Linked DNA regions of Astyanax mexicanus. The main gene of each other region encodes a partner of the protein of the gene in region 2 in a complex. Links are inferred from orthologs where the notes say so. Each region holds a gene or a part of one and is shown on either strand. Other genes may lie near its edges.

Region 1 (11,480 bases), on a different chromosome or scaffold from region 2:
ACATAAATAGACCTTAAAAATATACGCCAACAACTTTGACACAACTTCCTTTACAAAATATTTTAAATAGTTCCATAAACACTATAAATGGACCTAAAATACTCTATGTTTAAAAACTACTATGTTTAAGTATTCAAAGAGATATTTCTCAAAAGCTCTATTGCACAAGTAAGACACAAGTTTTATATAAATTTACTATATGTTACTCCCGAAGCCAATAGAGGCATTATAGTATTTAAATCTGCCACAATTCCTCTTTCTCCATTTAAAAAATCTATTCAAATAATTCAAGCTACAGTATAAATATATTTAAAAGGGCTGTAGTTACTGCTCTATTTTACTGGGATAAAAACACTCATACAGTAGAAACAGAAGCAGCCAACATGAGTAATCTCATCCTCATCTTGTGTGCGTCACGGCGCCATAATGGTTGTTTTTACCGCGCTGTGTGAGCTCTCTCGCGTTTGGTGCGTTTCATGCGAAATATTGAAAACCAGCACCCAAATTTCTTTAGACATTTCGTCACTCGTAGTACCAAGACATTTCAACCGGTAACCATTGCTATCGATTTTTATACCCGGCCCTATCCACCTTATTAAACACAATTATGGCTCTAACTGGGTCAGTGTTCAGTATTGATGATTAACAATGAAATGACTTAGAAATCATATTTGCATTTTTGGTAGTACAAAGAGTTTATCAACAGATTTCATTTGCTATGTATATCACCATGTTTCTTTTATTACAATTTTACACTTTTCCTTAACTAAGAAGGTTTTGCATGGTTCCATTTTTAAAAGATATGTTTGTATGCTGATTTTAATACTAATACTGCTATTAAGTTTTATTGTGTTTGTATACTATTGAAAACATATAGCCCTAAATTGTGCTGTTTATGTATATTCTGCCACATCTTCAAAAAAAAAAACAAAAAAACCCTGAATCAACTTTTTTAATTTCAGTAAATTTTAAGAATGTATAACGTAATTGTAATAAATAATCTCTCATACATTTGAATGTAAACCATATAAACCACAGCAATACCACTGAGCCACATACTACCATATCAGAATATATGCATGTAAGCAAATTATTTAAGAGTGTGTATTAAAAGTTATGTTTATTCTTTTTCCCCCAATCTGCACCAAATGACAATCATGAGATGTTTCACACAACCCTAAAGACTAGGCCTGTCATGATATCTATTTTTATTGGGTTATTTAATTTTGTTGTCCAAAAAATAAACAAATGACAAAATTGTTATTATTTGACCAGTTTATGCTATTGATATGATAGCATAATAATACAATTGCAATGTTTTAGCAATTATTTAGACTACAATTATTAGGGAATGGTGAGACATGAGATTTGGTAAATACATTTTAAATAATATAAATAAAATGTGAAAAAAATATTTGTGGAAACGTGGACCTATCAGCCGATTTATGTTTATGGGCTATTCCTGCTAAGAAAAGCATAATTAGAAACGTTGAGGTGAACAAATTAATTAATTAATTAATTGGGATAAGAAGACTAGAGCAAAATCTGCAGTGTCTGCAACTCTAGTCATCTAATAAAGATGAACCTGAATCAGATCTGAGAGATCAAAACACTTACATCTTCCACATTCTCCAGATCATCCAGTCCCTCGTCTTCCTCAACATCATCAAAATCTCCATCATCAAAGCTGAAACGGACAGAAGAGGATCAGATTAAAGCAGCAACACTCAGAAAGCACCGATTATACAGGAATCAGACTGACAGCACATTTAACACACATCCCCCAGACAGAGAGTTTAAACACTCATTAATACACTGCCTGGCAAAAACACTGACATTAATACACTGGCAAAAAAAAATCACCACGTGGATTTAATTAAAAAAATAGGTAAGAGCCTTCAATTGGATAATTACTGCATAAGTGATTAAGTTTGATGCAGTGAGTAGCTCCTAATTTGTAAAAACATCCATGTGGAAAGACTCATCCTTTGGTCATAGAAAATATGTTGTTGTTGTTTTTTTTTTTGTTTTTTTTTTTTAGAAAAGTCTAATTATTGGCATGCATTAAGCAAAGAAAACATCTTAGGAGATGGGAATCGGGTTATCGCATTATTAAAAACTTGAAGGACAGAGGGGAACATCATCTTCCTGGAAGGAAGAAAAAAGAAAAAAAATCTTGAATGAACATGATCTGCAATCATTTAAACACTTGGTGAAATCAAATGGTAGAAAAAACTAGAACTCAGTGACATTGTTAATAGTGAAAGTAAGAGCATTTCCACATGCACAACTCAAATTTGAGGGAGAATAAAGATTGGACTCAATGGAGCAATGGAAGAAGGTCATGTGCTCAGATGAGTCCAGATTTACCCTGTTCCAGAGTGATGGGCGCATGAGGGTAAGAAGAGTGAAGGCTGTACCCATGCACCAATCATGCCTAATGTCTACCGCATTTTGCACTATAAGGTGCACTTAAAATCCTTTAACTTTCCCAAAAATCATCAGTACACCTTATAATTCACTGCTCACGATCAATAACTGTCTATTTTTTGTCTATTTTAATAAATAAGGCTCGCCGGATTATAAGCCACATTATGCAACACTATTAAGGAACAGGGGTGTCTCTTTATGTTAATCTACACAGATTTCTCTTCTGAAAATTGTTTATTTGGGTGAGTAAAGAGCTTTTGTTTATTTACTGTAAGCTTAGATTTTCTGATTTCCACTAAGGTTGGGTGCAGCAATATTAACATTAGCAGCTAATCACTAGCACTAGCCATGGTTAGCACCTAACACCGCCCGCCAGCACTACATTAAGGAACCCTGAGTGTTCCAGTAAGCCAGGCTGATATTAGCTAGCGATTCATCCCACATAGCTTGTTTTAACACGGTAAACACGCAGACTACAGTCTGATATATTCACCTCTAAACAGAAAAAAGAAGGCTAGTGCTTAACGCAGTTAGCACATAATGCTAATGCTGCTCCAGCAGTGCTAGTCGGGGTAAGCAGCAGGCTACAGGCCGATAATACTCACCTCTGAATGGCGAAAAAAATATCGCTTAGTGGGTAATGCTAATACTGCTGGAGAACTAAACTGAATCTCCTGTATAACTCTGTACTTCAGCAGAGTGACTTGAAGGATGAAATGATTTTAAGTGCACCTAAAAGGGCAAAAATACAGTACTATACAAGCCTGTGGTGCAGTGATATGACCTGGGGTTGCTGCAGTAGGTCAGGTCTAGGTTCAGCAACATTATTGCTGAAAACACTACTGAGCTGACTGAAATATAACACACTATTTAGGTTATTATCAAAATACTTTGCATTATGGATTCTCATAACCTTTAAAATTACATAAGATTAAAAGATTACACCGAAATCATATTTTCCAGCTTAATCACTTTATACTTGCTGTCCTGCATGCGTCCACCCGGTTATGGCAAACTGCATGACTGGATGGACCATTTTATTGAAAACTGGCATTTGATAGTAACATGTTTGATATAGAGTTGCAGACATGTTGAATTATTCATGATGACCTTTTCTGCTTTAAATATACATCCTGATTTTACAATATGACTTTAATTACCATAATATTTTAATATATTGTTTGTCATTAGCATTTTCTTAAAATAGGTGTAAAACGTACTTTAATATATCAAAAAAGAAATGAAGTTTTACTTAGTTTTCGAATTTTATAGTGTTTTTTTTTCACATTTCATAATTTTTTTTCACAATTTCCATATTTCATTGTTTTGTGCAATTTAGATTATAAGACTGAAAAAAACCCCTGAAAATCTAACCTTTATCAGTTCAATTTTCTAACCTCTTAAGGTTAAACTCTGGTTGATTGTAGTAAAAAAAAAAAAAAAAAAAAAAAAAAAAAAAACTGGGTGTAAAACAGAGAGACAAAAATACTACTACTACTACTACTACTACTACTACTAACAACAACAACATTACAAATGAGTCAATACTTTATATATATATATATATATATATATATATATATATATATATATAATTATATAATATATTATATATATAAAATTATGACTATTTCTATTAGTAGTTGTCTCTGATATAAACTCTGGCTAAACTTGGTTATCAGTGGTTTATTAATAACGTTATTGATATTAGTAGTAGTAGTAGTGGTATTGCTTCTAATATAACCTGGTAAACTCGGTTATTTAATCAGTGGGTTATTAATAATGTTATTTATATTAGTAACTTAGTAGTAGTAGTGGTATTGCTTCTAATATAACCTGGTAAACTCGGTTATTTAATCAGTGGGTTATTAATAATGTTATTTATATTAGTAGTAGTAGTGGTATTGCTTCTAATATAACCTGGTAAACTCGGTTATTTAATCAGTGGGTTATTAATAATGTTATTTATATTAGAAATAATAGTAGTATGGTGGTAACATGGTGATATAAACTGGGTAAACTCGGTTATGTAATCAGTGGGTTATTATTAATGTTATTTATATTAGAAATAGTAGCAGTAGTGGTATTGTTTCAGATATAAACTGGGTAAACTCGGTTATTTAATCAGTGGGTTATTAATAATGTTATTTATTTTAGTAGGAGTACCGTAAGTATTGTCTCTGATATAAAGTCTGGGTAAACTCGGGTTGTTTAGCGATTATAAACACTTACTTGTCCTCGTTGTCAGACATCCTGGATTGAGTGAGGATCTACTGGTTAAACTAGAGGCTTATTTAGAAGTAAATTACAGTAAAATAACCTATTTATTCTATCAGTAATTAAAGCCACACCGCAACCTGCACCCCGCGCTGCTTCAGCGGTGTTCTCCTGTAAACTGTCCGGGTAGAAACACGGAGCGCACACCGAAAATGACCTGTGGCGGGGAGAGGGAGAGGGAGGGAGAGGGAGGGAGGGGGAGGGAGAGGGAGGGAGAGGCGTTGTTTATACCGCTAAATAAAACTTCTCAATGTGACAATTAATGCGGTAAAGTTTCCAGATTCACGGTATCATCACGTTATCACAGAAATAAACGCAAACAGAATCAGATTTTGCAAATTGCATAGACTCATATTTTGTTCTGAAGCTCATTTTAGTCATAATTATGATTTTTTGGAAAAAAAACATGGGTCCCACACTAAGTCATAATTATGAGATAATTGAGATAATATCTTATAACTATGACTTGCTATGCCATAATTATGATTTATTATCTGATAATTATGACTCAATATTTCAGAATGATGACTTAGCATCTTATAATTATTACTTTATTATTTCATAATTCTGGGAGAAGAATGTTTTCCCAGTCTTGTCTGATAAAGGATTGTAGCCAATCAAAAGAGTGCCATGCACTACTGCAATGCGAGTGCCATGCACTAATGCAACAGAGATGCAGGCTTTTAAACTGTGCGCAGTATGAGAAAATAAACACACACATGACACAATTAAATGTTTAATGTTTTGTTTTTTTTGTTTTTTGCACTGCCATCATAATGTTTATCACAAGCCGCCACTTTAAACGAGTTATTGTTTTTATCTGTAATTGTAACATTCCAGCACATCCTGTGATTTCCGTGCTCTATTGAGAATAAAACATATTTAATCTATTAGATTTAAATTCTAATAATAATTACACAGCACAGCAGCATCAGTAGATCTCTTTGCCAGTGCGGAGAATGAGCCTTTGCATAAATGCTCTAGCCATGAGACCTGCTTTAGGCTTTTCTCTCTGACAGAACTGAAGGACAGTATATAGACACACCTAGCTGGATCCAGAGCTGGTTAAACTGGATCAGGTGTGTTAGAATAGAATAAAATCTGCTTATTTAACTCCTGAATTTAACACTTAAAATGAAAAATGTCTAAACAGCAAGGAGGAACAGAACACAATACTGTAATAATATTGATTCATAATATTTTTTCTCTCACTGGTCACGTTGCAATTGCAATTGAACTGCTAAAAAAATACGTTTGTTTTTTGCTAATATAATTAAAAATGTTAGACAGCTCTTTTGGGGTTAAACATGAGAATGTTTAGAAATTATTAAATTATTAATTTATCTACTATGAAAAATGTATCAAAGAAGAAGAACAAATTCTAGACATTTTCCAAGGAGCTGAGTGGAACACTGTTTACTAGATTGTCCAGAAGGTGTCGTTGTTGCATAAGGCATTCCTCAGAATCTATATCCAGGGCCAGTTTAAATTATCCTCAGTTACAACACACCACATCTTCAGTTAATTATTAAACCCTTTAAGATCTGGATCAGGTTTGGTGTGTTCAGGGCATAGCTGTGTGTGGTAAGCACCTTGTGAGCATTGGAATGTAAAAGCACTGATATTCTGGTATATATTTGATAGAAATCTGAAAGTGATTCTACAACACATTTATATCATAAAACAAGTAAAGAGATCTGCCCAGTTTCTACAGTAACAGAATATTTAAGAATTTCACTAGTCTGGATTTGTTAGATTTCAGTACAGCTGAAGATTTGTGTAATATGTGTGAATTGTGGCTTCTTATTATGACTCTTTAGCATGAACTGAACTCACAATAAAGACAATAATTTCCAATAAAACACCCAGTGTCATTAAAAAAGAAACAGAAAGTAATAGGAGAGTTTGTTGTTTAGAGCAGCAGATAGCAGAGTTCAAAGTGTGGCTTTTCAGAGTGTAGTAAATGTGTTGGATTGTACTCTGGTTAAGTGATAAAACTGTATTTTACTACTCTATCCCACAATCTTACTACCGAACAATCTCTGTGAACGCATCTCAGTATTGGTGTAATATCTATTATCAGTGTCCTTTAAAGCAGTGATCATTTCATTTATGCTTTTATAAAGTTGGTGTATAATTATTGTTTGAGCCTGTTCTTGAAGAGCTATATTTTAAGCTCTGAAAGTACTTTAAAATGAACACATTATTACATAGAAACATATTACATAGACAAATATTATATTTACTTTATACTGTCCAGTTAACACCATAACTTTGGTGGTGGACTATTTGTAATAATGTTATATGAGAGATAAACCTTAAAGACATACTGGCCTTCTGCTCACATAGCAATGGTAGAAAGAAACCTGTATGACTGAATTCTGCAGATTATGTGGAAGTCAGCTTTTAGACTGTGGAGAGTAGTGTAATGATCAAATTAAACCTGGAATGGTAGGAATTGGCTGAAATACAATAATTAAAAAACATAATAAATAGAAAAAAACATAATAAACAGAAACAGAAAATGATAATTTGTGAATAATAAAGGAATACAGAAAATAGGAAGAGAAATAAAATAGAGATTTAACAAATGGAAAAAATTGTTAAATCTCTTTGTTTTTTTTTAGGGACAGTTTGGAAGTCAGAGGCAGCTCACAGGGCTTAGAGTTAGAGAGGTATTCCATTTTTTTTTCAAATAACAACCATAAATTGTATGTATTTTATTGAGATTTAAGTGATAGACCAACAAAACGTAGCACATAATTGTGAAGTGGAACAAAAATGATACATGGTTTCCAAAATTTTAATCATAAAAATCTAAAAAATATGTCATGCAAAAGTATTTAACCCCCTTAATTCTGAACCCTCTAAATAAAAACCAATGCAATTAATTGACACTTAATTAGGTAATAGAGTCCAGCTGTGTGTTATTTACAGCTGTTCTGTATCATGGTTTAATAGAGATCTCTCTAGTGATTAACAGTGACATAACATATACAGCTCTGGTCATGCAGGAGATGTGTTTTGGTCTCATGGTTCCTGACTCCCAGTCGCTGACCGTAAGAACAGCACCGAAAAACAGAGGTTTAGTATCTTAAATCCATTTTGTGTCAAGCAGACCACTAATATCAGTTTTTCTGCTTAAACTGTCAGAAACAAGTGGGGCTTGTTGTTACAGCCCAACACTGTGCAGGGATATCCATCAATGGTAGGTAGCATCACAGACTGTCTAGGAGTTGACTGATGCTTTAATACAGATCAGGAGCACGCCCAGGCGTTGTAGGAAGGTCATACAGGACCTGGTGTTCGCTTTATTTATTTGTGAAAAAGTGGCGCTGCGTTTCCACTACATTCCGCTGTGGGGCGCTGATGAGCTGCGTATTTAAAGTGAAAGTAAAAAATAATCAGTCCGACATTTTGTTGTTTATGAGATGCAGGTATAACAGGTGACACAAAATGGCTTTAAGATACTAAACCTCTGTTTTCCGGTGCTGTTCTTACGGAGGTCCGGTGCAGCGTTAGAATAGGACAACTGTTTGAGCAGCGTTTATAAAGAGGTAAGAGTCTACACCCACCCACAACTAACCCTAAATTCTTACAGCTCTGTTTTTGATCCGGGAAAAGGTTTTTGTTGTTGCTGAAAAAGGTTAACCAAACCTGCACATGAAAACTACTGTCCGTACCCGGACTGTGGTCAGAATTTGAAAAGCTGGCTTTTCTGTTTATGTATGTGTGTATGTATGCATGTATGTATGCTAAAGCAGGTTGGATTTTCTGTTAGATTTTTTTAGTTCATTTCACTGTTTTTATTTTCATATTTCTTGTGCAGAATATTTAGTACAGCTAGCTGTTTGTCACAGCTTTGTCCATCAACCGACTACTCAACTTAAATTTAATATATTAGAAAATGTTTTGATTTTTACTGTGGATTATGACACAGTATTCAACATGATGATTATGCCAGTAATGTTGATTACATGTTGATTATGCCAATTAATTGCAATACGCTAGGAGAAACATTGCACTGTACAAGCCCTTACAATACTGCACTTTGCAGAAAGGCTGCAGTCAGAACATACAGTCATGGCCGAAAGTGTTGGCACCCCTGATTTTTTTTCCAGAAAATGAAGTATTTCTCCCAGAAAATTATTGCAATTACACGTTTTGTTATACACATGTTTATTTCCTTTGTGTGTATTGAAACAACACAAAAAACTGAGGAAAAAAAGCAAATTTGACATAATTTTACAAAAAACTCCAAAAATGGGTCGGACAAAATTATTGGCACCCTCAACTTAATATTTGGTTGCACACCCTTTGGAAAAAATAACTAAAATCAATCTCTTCCTATAACCATCAACAAGCTTCTTACACCTTTCAACTGGAATTCTGGACCACTCTTCTTTTGCAAACTGCTCCAAGTCATATTTGAAGGGTGCTTCTCCCAACAGCAATTTTAGGATCTCTCCACAGGTGTTTAATGGGATTTAGATCCGGACTCATTGCTGGCCACTTTAGAACTCTCCAGCGCTTTGTTTCCATCCATTTCTGGGTGCTTTTTGAAGTATGTTTGGGGTCATTATTCTGCTGGAAGACCCATGACCTAGGACTGTAACCCAGCTCTCTGACACTGGGCCCTACATTGCGACCCAAAATCCTTTGATCTTCAGATTTCATGACGCCTTCGCATTCAAGGCACCCAGTGCCAGAGGCAGCAAAACAACCCCAAAACATCTTTGAACCTCCACCATATTTGACTGCAGGTACTGTGTTCTTTTCTTTGTAGGCCTCATTCTGTTTTCAGTAAACAGTAGAATGTTGTGCTTCACCAAAAATCTCTATCTTGTTCTCATCTGTCCACAAGATGTTTTCCCAGAAGGATTTTGGCTTACTTACATACATTTGGCAAACTGCAGTCAAGCTTTTTTAGCAGTGGGGTCCTCCTGGGTCTCCTGACATAGTGTTTCATTTCATTCAAATGTCGTCGGATAGTTCGAGCTGACACTGATACACCCTGCGCCTGCAGGACAACTTGAATTTCTTTGGAACTTGATTGGGTCCACCATCTGGACTATCCTGCTTTGCAACCTTTTTTATCAATTTTTCTTCTCCGTCCATGTCCAGGGAGATCAGCTACAGTGCCATTGGTTGTAAACTTCTTGATTATGTTGCGCACCGTGAACAAAGGAACGTCAAGATCTCTGGAGATGGACTTGTAACCTTCAGATTGTTAATAATTTTCCACAATTTTGGTTCTTAAGCCCTCAGACAGTTCTCTTCTCCTCTTTCTCTTCTCCATGCTTAGTGTGGCACACACAGACACACAATGCAAAGATTGATTCAATTTCTCTCCTTTTTATGTGGTTTCAGGCATGATTTTTAAATTGCCCACACCTGTTACTTATCACAGGTGAGTTTGAATGAGCATCACATGCTTGAAACAAAGTTATTACCCTCAATTTTGAAAAGGTGCAATAATTTTGTCCGGCCCATTTTTGGAGTTTTGTGTAAAATTATGTCAAATTTGCCTCTTTTTCCTCAGTTTTTTTGTGTTTTTCCACACAAAGAAAATAAACATGTTTATAACAAAACATGTGTAATTGCAATATTTTTCTGGGAGAAACACTTCGTTTTCTGGAAAAAATTCAGGGGTGCCAATACTTTCGGTCATGACTGTATATATACTAGTATATGTGTTATATACTAATGTCTCTCAAAAAATAGATTATCATTGAAAAGCTACTTTAATTTAGTAACTAATCAACAATAAAATAAATAAATGTTTAAAATAGATCACTCTGTGTGTAATACCACACAAAAAGTGATCAAGTTTAAGCTTTTTTTTATTATTATTGTTGATTATGGCTTACAACCCAAAAATCAGTATCTCAGAAAATCAGAAAATATTTTATAAAACCAATGGGTACTTTTGGCAGTGTGGGCAATGTGCAAAGTCCTGCTGGAAAAAAAATCCACATCTCCATAAAAGTTGACAGCAGAGGGAAGCATGGAGTGCTGTAATATTGACTGACACTGACTTTGGACTTGATAAAACACAGTGGACCAACACCAGCAGATGACGTGGCTCTACAAACCATCACTGATCATCAGTAAAATTAAGGGAGCAGAGTCTGGAGGAAGAGTGGAGAGACACACAGTCCAAGCTGCTTGAGGTCTAGTGTGAAGTTTCCACCAATCAGTGATGGTTGGAAGAGCCATATCATACACACACACACACACACACACACACATGCACACACACACACACACACACACAGTGGTCTGAAAAAAAGAGGTCTAAAATTTAAAATGTAGTGAAATGAGCACAGAATTAAAATATGCCTACTCTGTTTGTGTTCTCTTTCCTTTGTGTTCATAGCTGGTCCCACCCTGTGGAAACTTATGTCCTCCCCTAAGAGACAGTGACCATCCACATAGACCAAACACAAAAATCATTCAGGTAAAATATTTTTTATGCATAAATCTGTCAATCATTATATTAAAACAATATGGTGTTCTAATGTTTGGATGTGACGGTAATAGATGAAGTAGTCAGTGTACAGCTTGTGTAACAGTGTACATTTTATGTGCACTCAAAATAACTCAAGACAGCCATTACAAAAGTAAGCACTGCCCTGAGTAAAAATATAACTAATTGCACTGAGGTAGTTTGGGTCTCGTGTTTAAGAGTAACAGCAGGTTTTAGAGGAAAAGGATGAACGTTTTAAGCAGGTATAAGATCTCATCTCAGTTGGTGTTAGTTTATTTTATAC
Region 2 (11,371 bases):
TGATCAGCCATAACATTAAAACCACCTCACTAATATGTAGGAATGCACCGGTTTGGGAATTCTGGGCTGATGCAGATACAAAAAAAACAATAAAAATACGAATTTTGGTATCACTGCAACCCTAAAAATATTTCCTAATCCATCAGTCAGCTTTCTTAGTCATGTGACCGATGCACTATGCCAAACCAATCACAAGCTCGACCAATTACAGATTAGGCCTGTTTATTTCAGAAAATTCTAGCTGTATTATTATGTTTCTTATTATTTATCCAGGAGTTCTGCTCTTCCGTTTGTTTGACTGCCTGTAAAGTTGATTTTGCTCTGTTTAAATGGCGTCACTCCAAAAACATCCTGATTCGACATTTAATATAGTATTATTTTAGACCACCTTAATAATAAAAAAATATATGTGAACATATGGACTGAAAAATGCACTTTAGTTTACTAAATCAAACTATATTTCAGTTTATGTGGTTACATGAACAAAAAATATCTATCATACATTATAACATGGGTATGGGTAGCTCCTCAGTCTTTAAGATTCTTATTTATTGATCTAGTTTACTGAGTGGTTCTGACCTGTGGGTGAATTAAAATTATTATTTTTTTTTTTAATCTTTAAAGATGAAATAAATCTTTCTGATTTTTGGTGCTTATAATAACAGCTTATAGGACAGAATATCTAGAGAAGTACTATGGAAATACAAAGCTTTCATGTTTAAAACAAACATTAGGATTTTCTTGAAAAATGTTGGCATTGCTCTTGTTTCCTTTTTTCTTTTCTCATTTTAATTTTTCAAACTTCAGTGTGTTTTTTGAAGGAGTAAGACTTCATAATACATGCATAAGTATAAAATAGATATTTAATAAAAATAAAATAAAAATAACTGACATGCCAAAAGTCATGGGACAGCAGTGTGTATTTTAATAATGAAGTTTTGCCTTGGGAATGCCCACACCTGTATTCTAAGTTGTGAGTGATGTTGGACACTGGCCAGCATGCTCATGGCAAGGCCAGGTGAATTATGGGAGTGCGGCCTAATAGTCAGTGCCAGAAGGAAGGGACGTTTAATTTTTGAAGTTGTGTGGGCGTTTAATATTCCTATCAGTCATAGAAGTTATATAAGTCATAGAAGGCATTACCACCCACAGTGGACAGTGTACTGAGTTGCTTTTGTCTAGAACTGCCTGTGTGCACAAATGATCAAGCAAATTTAGCAATGCAAGGGACACAATAATAGCTCCTGTCTCATGCCATTTGGTATGTCAGTGTATATATTTAGTATAAGAAACAAGTCAAATATGAAGTTTGCCATCGTATCTTTTAGGTTTTGTTTTATTTGGACATTTTTTCTTGCTGAATTTTCATCTATAATTATGGAAGCTGCCCCAATGTTTTTTTTCCTCTGATATCACTAAGCTTAGCATGTAATAAGGTCCAGCAGTCAGTCCCCAAACCCCAGTGTGTACTGGGATAATCTATACCAGCACATAACCTTTATATCTCAATTCTATCTGCATAGTGTGTGCAAATGTTGGGTCTTTTTGTAAGATATTAAGCTAAATGCTTTCTAACCTATCAGACTTCAAGACTATGATCAGACTGCAGAGCAATTGTTATTATGATTAGATAGAACTTGTGCGTCCAGATATCACAAATGTATCTGTTCAGTTTCCTGTGTTATAAAGATTGATGCCTTTAATTCATTACTCTGGATTTGATGAGGTTGTTGGTTGTCGTATTGTAAATGTTGCAAAAGACGCACTGAAATCTGATTATCAGGCATCTCTGCAAATCTGATTATAATCGCATTTCAGACCACCTCAGACAAATGTGGTTTGGATCCGACTTGCAAAAATCTGATTTAATGTGGTTTTAGTCTGTACAGACAATTAAAAAGCAATCTGGACACAATCTAGATATAAAAATCTGATTTGGACTAGCAGTCTGAACATAGCCTCTTCTCACCTCTCTTATTCTCTCTCTCTTTTTTTCTGATTCATACAGATACAGTATGTTTCCTCTTATTTTATTGATTAATATCGATATCTGCAGTTACTGAGTTATTGATTAGCTTTTTCTGTAAGAGCAGAAGCAGATGGATCATTTCACATCCTTTGTAAGTGATGTATTTTCAGGGGGGTGGGACGGGAAGGAATGGGGGCGGGCACATGAAAGGTATTGCATTTGTGAATAAAAGTTTTGTTGTTTTGTACCACTTGAATTATTTTATTTCTGTGCATGTGTACTATGCTTCTGAAAAAGCTTTTGCTTTTGCTCCAAATTTACTTTAATCTCGGACAGAGATAACCTGAGTAAATGTTTAAAGATTGTTTTTAAATGATAATTTCTTTTATTACAAGAAAAAAAAAGCTGTCCTAAGTCAAAGTCATCCTGGCAATATGTGAAAAACAAATTGCCTCCCTGGATGGCAACAACTGCCATTAAGCATTTGTGATAACTGGCAGTGAATCTTTATTTAAAACTGACTAGGCCACTCCAAAACGTTTTGACTTGCTGGTGTGTCTCAGATCATTGTCTTGCTGCAGAACCCAAGTACGCTTAAGCTTTAGGTCACAAACAGATTTTGTGGTAGAGAGAAGTATTATATATGTAACTCTGTGTGCTAAGCTCAATCTAGATTCCACACGTCTAAAGACAGGGATTTTATTCATTTTTTACACATTATAATTTATTAAAAACTAAGAGATTCACTAAGTAACTTAAATACTGTTGATTTGTCTTAGAAATGTTATACAAAATAATGAGATTAGAAGTTTGACTTATTTTGCAGCCATATATATATATATTGCAGATGTAATGCTGTTTTATATTAGAGTTAAGAGTAGGGCTGTGTATTAGGAAGAACTTAGCGATATGAAACCTATCATGATAGAGGGGTTATGATGTACTGTGATACTGTATGAAGGGTGATGTAATGTGATTGTTTAAATTAAGTTTAAGAAAAACATATTTCTAAAATCTGAGTAGAAGAAAAGTTAACTTTTCATCCAAATAGAACAACTAGAATGCTTTCTATTGGATGGGTTTAAACACATCACTATGAACAAAAGTATGACACCAATCTTTACATGTACAATAATAATTAAAAAATTATTAGTTTATTAATATTTTGTCTATACATTTTGCCTAAAATACACAGCATTTTAAATAGTGACAAATATGTTTAATTAGTGTAGCATAATTTTTAAATATCGATTTAATAAAGATTGATTTATTGGGGGGGGGGGGGGGGGGTGGATACTCCTAATTCTAGAATGATGTCTGTGTGTGCACTGATTGTTGCTATGCAGCATGTTGCCATGGTTTCGGTCCAGAAAGGCAGTTTTGGTCCACATGGAGTTAAAGATGTAAGCAGATCTCCTCTACCGAACATTTCGTACAATACATGCTCATGGGCCTGTCATATCATCATATATTATTACTTGCACTCTGTGACAGTATTATTGAACAATACATAGCATACATACCTCAAGAGACATATTTTCATACACATACAGTAATAAGCTGGGTGTACACTCGTAAATTTATACAGCAGAAGATAAGCAGATCTTCATTAGGTAGAAGATGAAACACTATTTCCTAATTTCTCTTTTCACCAAAAAAACATACTGGGTTATCGCAAAAATGATTACAGATGAGATATGATTAGACACTGGGTCTTTGTACAAAAGTGGCAACCTTTGGGTAGTGTACCTCTTGGTAAGAGATTGTTGACTGCTTTACATGCCTCTGTGATGCATTTGAGACAACTATAGTTTCTGAATCAGTTTCTCTGAAGTTCAGAAATCTTAAAAATATTTTGTAAAATCACTTTTTTTCACAGTTTTTATGCATCTTGGCAAGTTCTCCTCCACCAGTCTTACACACTGCTTTTGGATAGAAAAAAAATAAAGCAGTTCAGCTCAGTTTGATGGCTTGTGATCATCCGTCTTCCTCTTGATTATATTCCAGATGTTTTCCTTATTTTTTCATGTCTAGCAGTCATTAATCTTGTAACAAGAGGTACACTACTACACTGCTTGTCTTTCAGCGTTAATTCTAACCATCAGTATTTAGCATTTTGGGTTTATTAAAAAAGTTGATTATTAACAGCTTAATGTACCAAGATTAAGCTGGGAACTATGCGGAATAAAAAAATGTGTATATATGTTTTTGAATGTGTGTGTGTGAGAGAGACAAAGCAATGCACTTATATTTTACCTGCAGCACAGATCAAATCAGTCCTGATTCCTGAAGCGTGGGACTTATCTAATCCCAGCTTACATATAAAGGGAGAGATTGTGTGTGTAGCTGAGCTGTTATCATGCCTGCTAAACTCCAGGGATTTTTGACTCTGATCCGATCTGTGCGTTTTTCTGAAAGAGGTCTCTTACACACAGACTGAGCAAGTTATTATATGTATTACCAATACATTAGAAACACCCGTACATCTACTTTTTAAGCAGTTATTCAATCGTGAGGCAGCATGGTGCTGCTACAGAAAGGTGATGGTACAGTACTGATTTCTCTTAGTCTCCAAACTTATGAAAGAATTTAAGTACTAGTTATAAAAGGTTTCGGGAAACATTCAGAATTTTAAGGACTTTCTTTTTTAAATATGAGGTTATGTAGTACTTTCAAAGCATTACAAGCGTTTTGGACAGCCTATCTCTGTCAAATTAAAGTGTGCCAGCAGAAGACCCACATCGGGTTCCATTTCTGTCTGCCAAGAACAGAAAGCTGAGGCTGCAGTGGACCCAGACTCATTGATCACAGATGGATCTTACCCACCATGTGCCCCCGCCCCCCCCCCCCCCCCACATTTAACATAAAATATTAGTCCATACAGTGCTGTTTCTATTGCTTCATAAAATAATAAATTTTACATGATTGAAAGGAGAATACACCTACCTCTAAAACTCACCGCATGCAAGTAAACCTGGAGAAGGAATCGTCAGGCCCACTGCCATTTCACAATATCCAGCTTTTGCTGAAACCTATTTTTTTTTTTCAATATGCGCCCTCAAAATGAACCCTAGGCCAAGTTAAATGCATGTTCAATTAAACAGTGAAACATTAGGAGTAAGAATTGCCTTATTTACTTTGAGTAACAGTGGCGTATTCATCAAAAAATAAGTAAAATGCATGAACTCCCATGAACTCATTGTTGGTGATAAATTGTCTGAACTGTCTCTAAAATAGTAATTGAATTAAGTCACTTTTGTAGGTAAAATTAGGTGTTTAAAAATGTGTCACCCCTGATGGGACCAGCCTGTTTAATTTGAAGGGATCTTGAGAGGTTGGCCATGTTAAAATTAAAGATTACTTTGTCTTTAAAGCATAAAACAAGCATAAATAATACATACAAAAAGTGGTACATGTGCCCTTTAACTTTTATTACACCTAAGAAAGGATTTTACACCTACCTTGTTTGGTCCAATCCAAAATAGTAGGTAGTGTGATGGACTGGTACCTTGTCCAGGGTGTGTATTCCTGCCTCGTGCCAAATGATTCCGGGTAGATTCTGAACCCACTGCGACCCTGATCTGAAAGAAGCAGAAAGAAGCAGATGTGTGGATGGTTAGATAGCTATTCATGAACTACACACAAAGAGTTTATTAGGTTAAATCTAACATTCTGCACTTTATCCATATGTATGTTCATATCATACTGTGTCAAAAGTTAAATGGTGAAACTGAGATGCATGCATCTCTTTTGTAAAAACAGCAACGTCCAATGCTGCACCTTCAGCCCTGAAACATAAAGACGTACAAGCACAAGCCTAAGCTTGTGATCTCCATCCCTCAGACGACACCAGACAGACACCCTGCAAAAACTAATTTCAAGGAGGTAGCATTAAGGCCTTGACCCCCCACCTTCTCCTTTAAACCCAGGAGGTCCAATTAATGAACAGTACCAAAAGTTTAAACACACCTTCTCATTCAATGTTTTTTTTTATTTTTATCCAGACTATGAAGGAACACATAAGAAATCATGCAGTAACTTAAAAGTGTTAAACAAACAAAAATTCTCTCAAGTGTTTTTATCTGGGGTGCTGTAAACCTGCATTTTCTGAGGCTGGTAACTCTGATGATCTTATCCTGTGCTACAGAGGTAACTCTTGCTCTTCCTTTCCTGGGGCAGTCCTGATGAGAACCAGTTTCAACGTTTTGAATGGTCTTTGGTCAAAGTTCTTGAAATGTTTCAGATTTACTGACCTTTATTCCTTAAAGTATTTTTTTATTTTTACCTAGTCAAGTAGTTTTTGCCATAACATGGATTAGAACATTACTCAAATAGGTATATTCACTGTATACCAACTCTACCTCTTCACAACTTTACAACTGATGCACTCAAAAAAAATCAAGTAATGAACTCTTGACGAGTTCAGCACAGCTGTTCCTGAATCCTGAATACCAGGTGACTCTACCTGAGAAAATCCAGACAAGATGTGCAAAGCTGTCTCTATTTTAGCAAAAGATATATAAAATATGACCACATGGGCAAGGGATTACTTTAGCCAATCTTCAAGCACTACAATACAGAGTTACATTCATAAACACCACTTAAAACTTCGTAACCATGGTAACCATGTCCAGAAGAGGCATTAACTTCTCTGTGCTCGGAGGCATCTAGGATGGGTAAATGTGTATTTTGTTTGCAATCAGTATTTCTTTTATTTCCTATGATTTGTAATCTCATTTAAAATGTCCATATTTACAAGAAAGGTCAAATTTCTTGAGGATTAAACCGTTCCTACAGTCATGGAAGGCAGACTGATCCGGCCCGGCTGGCTCAGCTCTGTGCTGAGAGGGCGATCTGAATGGTGTTTAAGTCAGGGGATTGTTACAGATGCAGTCTTATTATACTGAGAGAAACATGAGCCCAGCCAGGCGGGACTGGGGGGACGGGGGCGAAGGGGCTCAGTCTGTGCATTAGATCACAGCTCTTTGTGTTTAGAGGAGGGAAAGGGCAGCCCATACCCTCACTTGGACAGAACAGGTATGCGAGTGAATAAGCTGTTCATTCAGGTTCTGTTTATAAAGTACAAATACTTTATATACAGTAAAAAGTCCCAGTCTAGAATATCTTTTGTGTTTATATACATCTCTGAAAAAAAATAATCGACCACTTATTAAAGATGTTTTTTCTTGATTTTACAAAATTGAAATCCTCTGGAATATAATCAAGAGGAAGATGGATGATCACAAGCCATCAAACCAAACTGAACTGCTTGAATTTTTGCACCAGGAGTGGCATAAAGTTATTCAAGAGCAGTGTGTAAGACTGGTGGAGAAGAACATGCCAAGATGCATGAAAACTGTGATTAAAAACCAGAATTATTCTACCAAAAATTGATTTCTGAACTCTAAACTCTTTCAGAAATTGATCTTGTTTTCTTTGCATTATTTGGTGTCTGAAAGTTAATTTAACTGTTTTTTTTAATTAGCTGATTACTTGATTAGTCAACGGTTATTTCTGCCATCCCCTTTATTGCTTTCTAATGAAACAAACAAAAAAAATGAATGTGGGATTTTTAAATGGGCAAAATATGCTTAAATGTGAAAATATGCTAAATTTGGGCACTTTTGGAGACAGTACTTTGTGTAGTACAATAACATGGCTGGCTTAATATGTCATGCTTTTTTTGACAAATATTTAGTAATAATAGGAAGCTACAATAAAATTATTCGTAAAAAATTGTGAATTGCAGGCATTGTTTTTTTGCAAAAATAACTTCCTGTATAAAGACAAAGTTTATATTTATACTTGTTAGGTACTACTAATCCCACATAGGTAGGAGAAAGTCCAGGTCTGATGAGGTTAATACTACTATGCTATTTAAAAATAAAGTGGTATAGTGTATTTACGCATGCGTGATGACACACACACACACACACACACACACACACTCGACGGGCTACAGTCCCGCGCACGCGCTCCAGCAGGAGCGGCGGTGTATCCTGGGCGCGCGAGCAGCAGAAGGAGGAGAGATAGTGTGGAAGATAACGGAGGATGAGTCCTGCGGAACCGGCGCGCGCCTGAATTCATACTGGAGCTTTTATTCCTCCTGTTTTTTATGTGGAATTCGGGGAAAGAACGCGAGGATCTGATCTAAGCTGTGCTGAGGTTTTGCTCCGGTTCGGATTCCTAATTCATTTATCAATTCGCTTTAATTGAATCCGGTTTATTTTAGGGGGGTCTTCCTCTGTAAGAGCCGCTCGCGATGCTGTGGAAAACGCGGCTCGCGCTGCTGCTGTTTTACTGCGGGGGCTCGTGCAGTTGGGCGCGCGAGGATCGGCAGCAGCAGCAGAAGAATTCCGCCTCCACCGGAGCCCCTGCGCGCGCGGACACGCACCGGGCGCACGCGGCTGAGGTGCTGGACTTCGGCTACGTCCCGTCCGTGGTGTACGAGACGCACGCGTACTACGAGCCCGGACCCATCGGTCTGCTGTTCCACATGGTGCACGCTCTGCTGTACGCCGTGCAGCCCAACCCCTTCCCCAAAGGTGAGCGAGCGTTCGATCCGAATTCTAGTTGATAGCATTCAATTGATTCAAAATAAAGATAACAGTGTGAACGCAATCACGCTGCATTCTGATTTTGCATTCTGCTGGTAGAGTGGGGAGTGCAGATGTGGAAGGGGGCGTGGTGCAGCTGTGCACAGCAAAATCAACTAACTCAAATAACTTACTGTATCAGAGTTAATTTAAACTCTTTAAAATTGTTTATCTAGCTTACAGTTTTTGGTTAGTAGAACATTTTCTAAACGTTACTGATAAAATACCTATCTGATCAATAGCCCACCAGAATAGAGTATATTTTTTTCTGGTAGCCCAGCTGGTCTTGAACTGGATTTTTTTGCAGGGAGTTAATGTTCTTAGACAGTTTAATCTGTAAAGTTTTCTGGATGTTCTTTGAATGTTGTTATTTGACATTTTTAAATTCCGTAACAGTAATGCTGTTTCCAATTCTGGTAATTACACTTCATTGTCACTTGTGTCAATGTTTGAATTTTTTATTTTAAGTATGTTGATAATTTTAGTGGTTAGTGGTTGGTGTGGTTCAGTGGATAACACCACTGCATGCAAGTGAGCTTCCATGTGGGAGACTGGGGTTCAATTCCAGGCCTTGGTGACTATGCTGTGCTACACCACTAAGAGTTCCTGAAAGAAAGAGTCGTCCAGTAAATCATAATAATGAAATACTTAGTCATAATAATGAGATTATAAGTCATAATAATAAGAAACTATAATTATGAGAAACTATGTCATAATGTATAATTATGAAATGCATAGTCATTATAATGAGATACTTGGTCATTATTGTGAATTGCTGTCTCATAATAATGACCAGTACCAGTAGGTATCTCATTATTATGACATTATTATGACTGAGTATCTCGTTATGATGACTCAGTTCCTCATAATTATAAGTTAGTATCTCAAAGTTATGACTTCTCATAATAATGAGTTAGTTCCTCCTAATTATGACCTAGTATCTTGTTGTTATGGCTTAGTTATTCATAATTATAAATATCTCAAAATTATGATTTAGTATCTCATAATAATTACTTAGTTCCTCATAATTATGATTAAGTATCTTAAAGTTATGACTTATCTAATAACGATGAGTTTGTTCTTCGTAATTATGACTTAGTATCTCATTACTATGACATAGTTCCTCATAATTATAAGTTAGTATCTCAAAATGATGAGTTAGTATCTCGTAATTATAACTTATATGTGTTCAGAGCAGTGGGCAGCAATCCATCACGGCAGCTCAAGGGCCAAAAAGTATAGTGTACCAATACCCCCCTGGTATCAAACCCACAACCTTGGTAACAGTGACCAAGTGCCCATGTGGGGTCTGTATGAGCTGCGCATGGCAAAGGGGTGGGTAGCTCATGAATTTTGTCCACAGGGTCCATGTTGGCCCACATGTGGATGTTAGTGACCCATCAGGGTTCGTGAGGGGACCAGTAGGGGTTAAACATGGACGCTATGTGGGTTGTAAATTGCACATGGATCACAGGGGCAGTGATGATTGAGTGGTTAGGACTCTCAAGACTACTGTGTGTGTGTTTTGTTGTTTGGTTGTGTAGAACTTTTACAATAGCACCTGTAACACTTTGATTTATCTTTTCATACAATAAAAGGGAAAAGTTAAAGGACAGGAGAGTGAATAACAATGTATATATTTTTATTTTTTTTAAATCACAGATGGAGTTGTTTTCTCTGGGTTTCAGGTCAGGTGGTTAAGCAGGTGTTTTTTTGTGGAGCAGTTGTTTATATGGAGCTACAGAATGGAGCTTGTGTGTGTAAATGTGTGTGTTTAGGGGAGAATAGGATTGCAGTGGTAAGTCCCTGCTGCCTAATCAATTAGCCGATCTGCCCGATTAGGCGGGGCTCTCTGAGTCACCTGTCCAATCAGGTAAGCTGATAATCTGAGTGCCATATGCTGCCAACACAGTGCCTACCCTGTACCTACACACAGTGCTTACACAAACAGTCCACAACACACGCGTCCATCCTGTTCAGCACACGGGTATGAAATAATACAGGGTAAACATGTTAGTACAGTGTGTTCTGTCTTATGTATCGTCTCAAATAATTAGGACTCTGTATCAGCAAGATGTATCATTAATACAGAGCTTACAATGCAATATGCAGCCCTGGAAAAAATGAAGAGACCACTTCAGTTTCTGAATCAGTTTCTCTGATTTTGCTATTTATAGGTATATGAACATAAAATGAACATTGTTGTTTTATTGAACTAAAAAAGATACAGAGCTTTCAGGTCTCAAATAATGCAAAGAAAACAAGTTCATATTCGTAAAGTTTTAACCCTGGTTTTTAATCACAGTTTTCATGCTTCTTGGCATGTTCTCCTCCTCCACCAGTCTTACACACTGCTTTTGGATAATTTTATGCCACTACTGGTGCAAAAATTCAAGCAGTTCCGCTTGGTTTGATGGCTTGTGATCATCCATATTCTTCTTGATTATATTCCAGAGGTTTTCAATTTGGTAAAATCAAAGAAACACATCAATTTGGTCTCTTTTTACACTCCAGAATGCAGCAGCACGTCTGGTCTTCAACCAACCAAAACGGGCACATGTCACCCCACTGCTCATTGAGCTCCATTGGCTACCAGTTGATGCTCGCATCAAATTCAAAACTCTTACAATCGCCTACAAGGTGATGACAGAACAGCTCCTTCCTTCCTGCACTCACTCCTGAAGACTTACGTTACCTTCCGGCCGCTGCGCTCCTCCAATGAAGGTCGCCTCGCTTTGCCAAACAAACATTCACACAAAGCAATCCAGACTGTTCTCATACAGAGTTCCCCAATGGTGGAACAAAC

What was found.
Region 1: gtf2e2 (region 2) and polr2f share a complex: the UniProt entries of both Homo sapiens proteins name them as parts of the TBP-based Pol II pre-initiation complex. The link is inferred for Astyanax mexicanus from reciprocal best matches to the Homo sapiens genes GTF2E2 and POLR2F.

What each region holds. Positions count from the first base shown.
Region 1 is NC_064410.1:9,738,521-9,750,000, forward strand, and holds the start of polr2f (DNA-directed RNA polymerases I, II, and III subunit RPABC2), read right to left. Parts: upstream 4,837-11,480; 5' UTR 4,683-4,836; coding exon 4,663-4,682; intron 1,688-4,662; coding exon 1,618-1,687; intron 1-1,617. UniProt on the Homo sapiens protein: DNA-dependent RNA polymerase catalyzes the transcription of DNA into RNA using the four ribonucleoside triphosphates as substrates.
Region 2 is NC_064432.1:19,868,557-19,879,927, reverse strand, and holds the start of gtf2e2 (transcription initiation factor IIE subunit beta), read right to left. Parts: upstream 5,456-11,371; 5' UTR 5,431-5,455; intron 2,217-5,430; exon of another isoform or gene 1-2,216. Other genes in the region: prom1b (prominin 1 b), read left to right, coding at 8,232-8,514. UniProt on the Homo sapiens protein: Recruits TFIIH to the initiation complex and stimulates the RNA polymerase II C-terminal domain kinase and DNA-dependent ATPase activities of TFIIH. Both TFIIH and TFIIE are required for promoter clearance by RNA polymerase.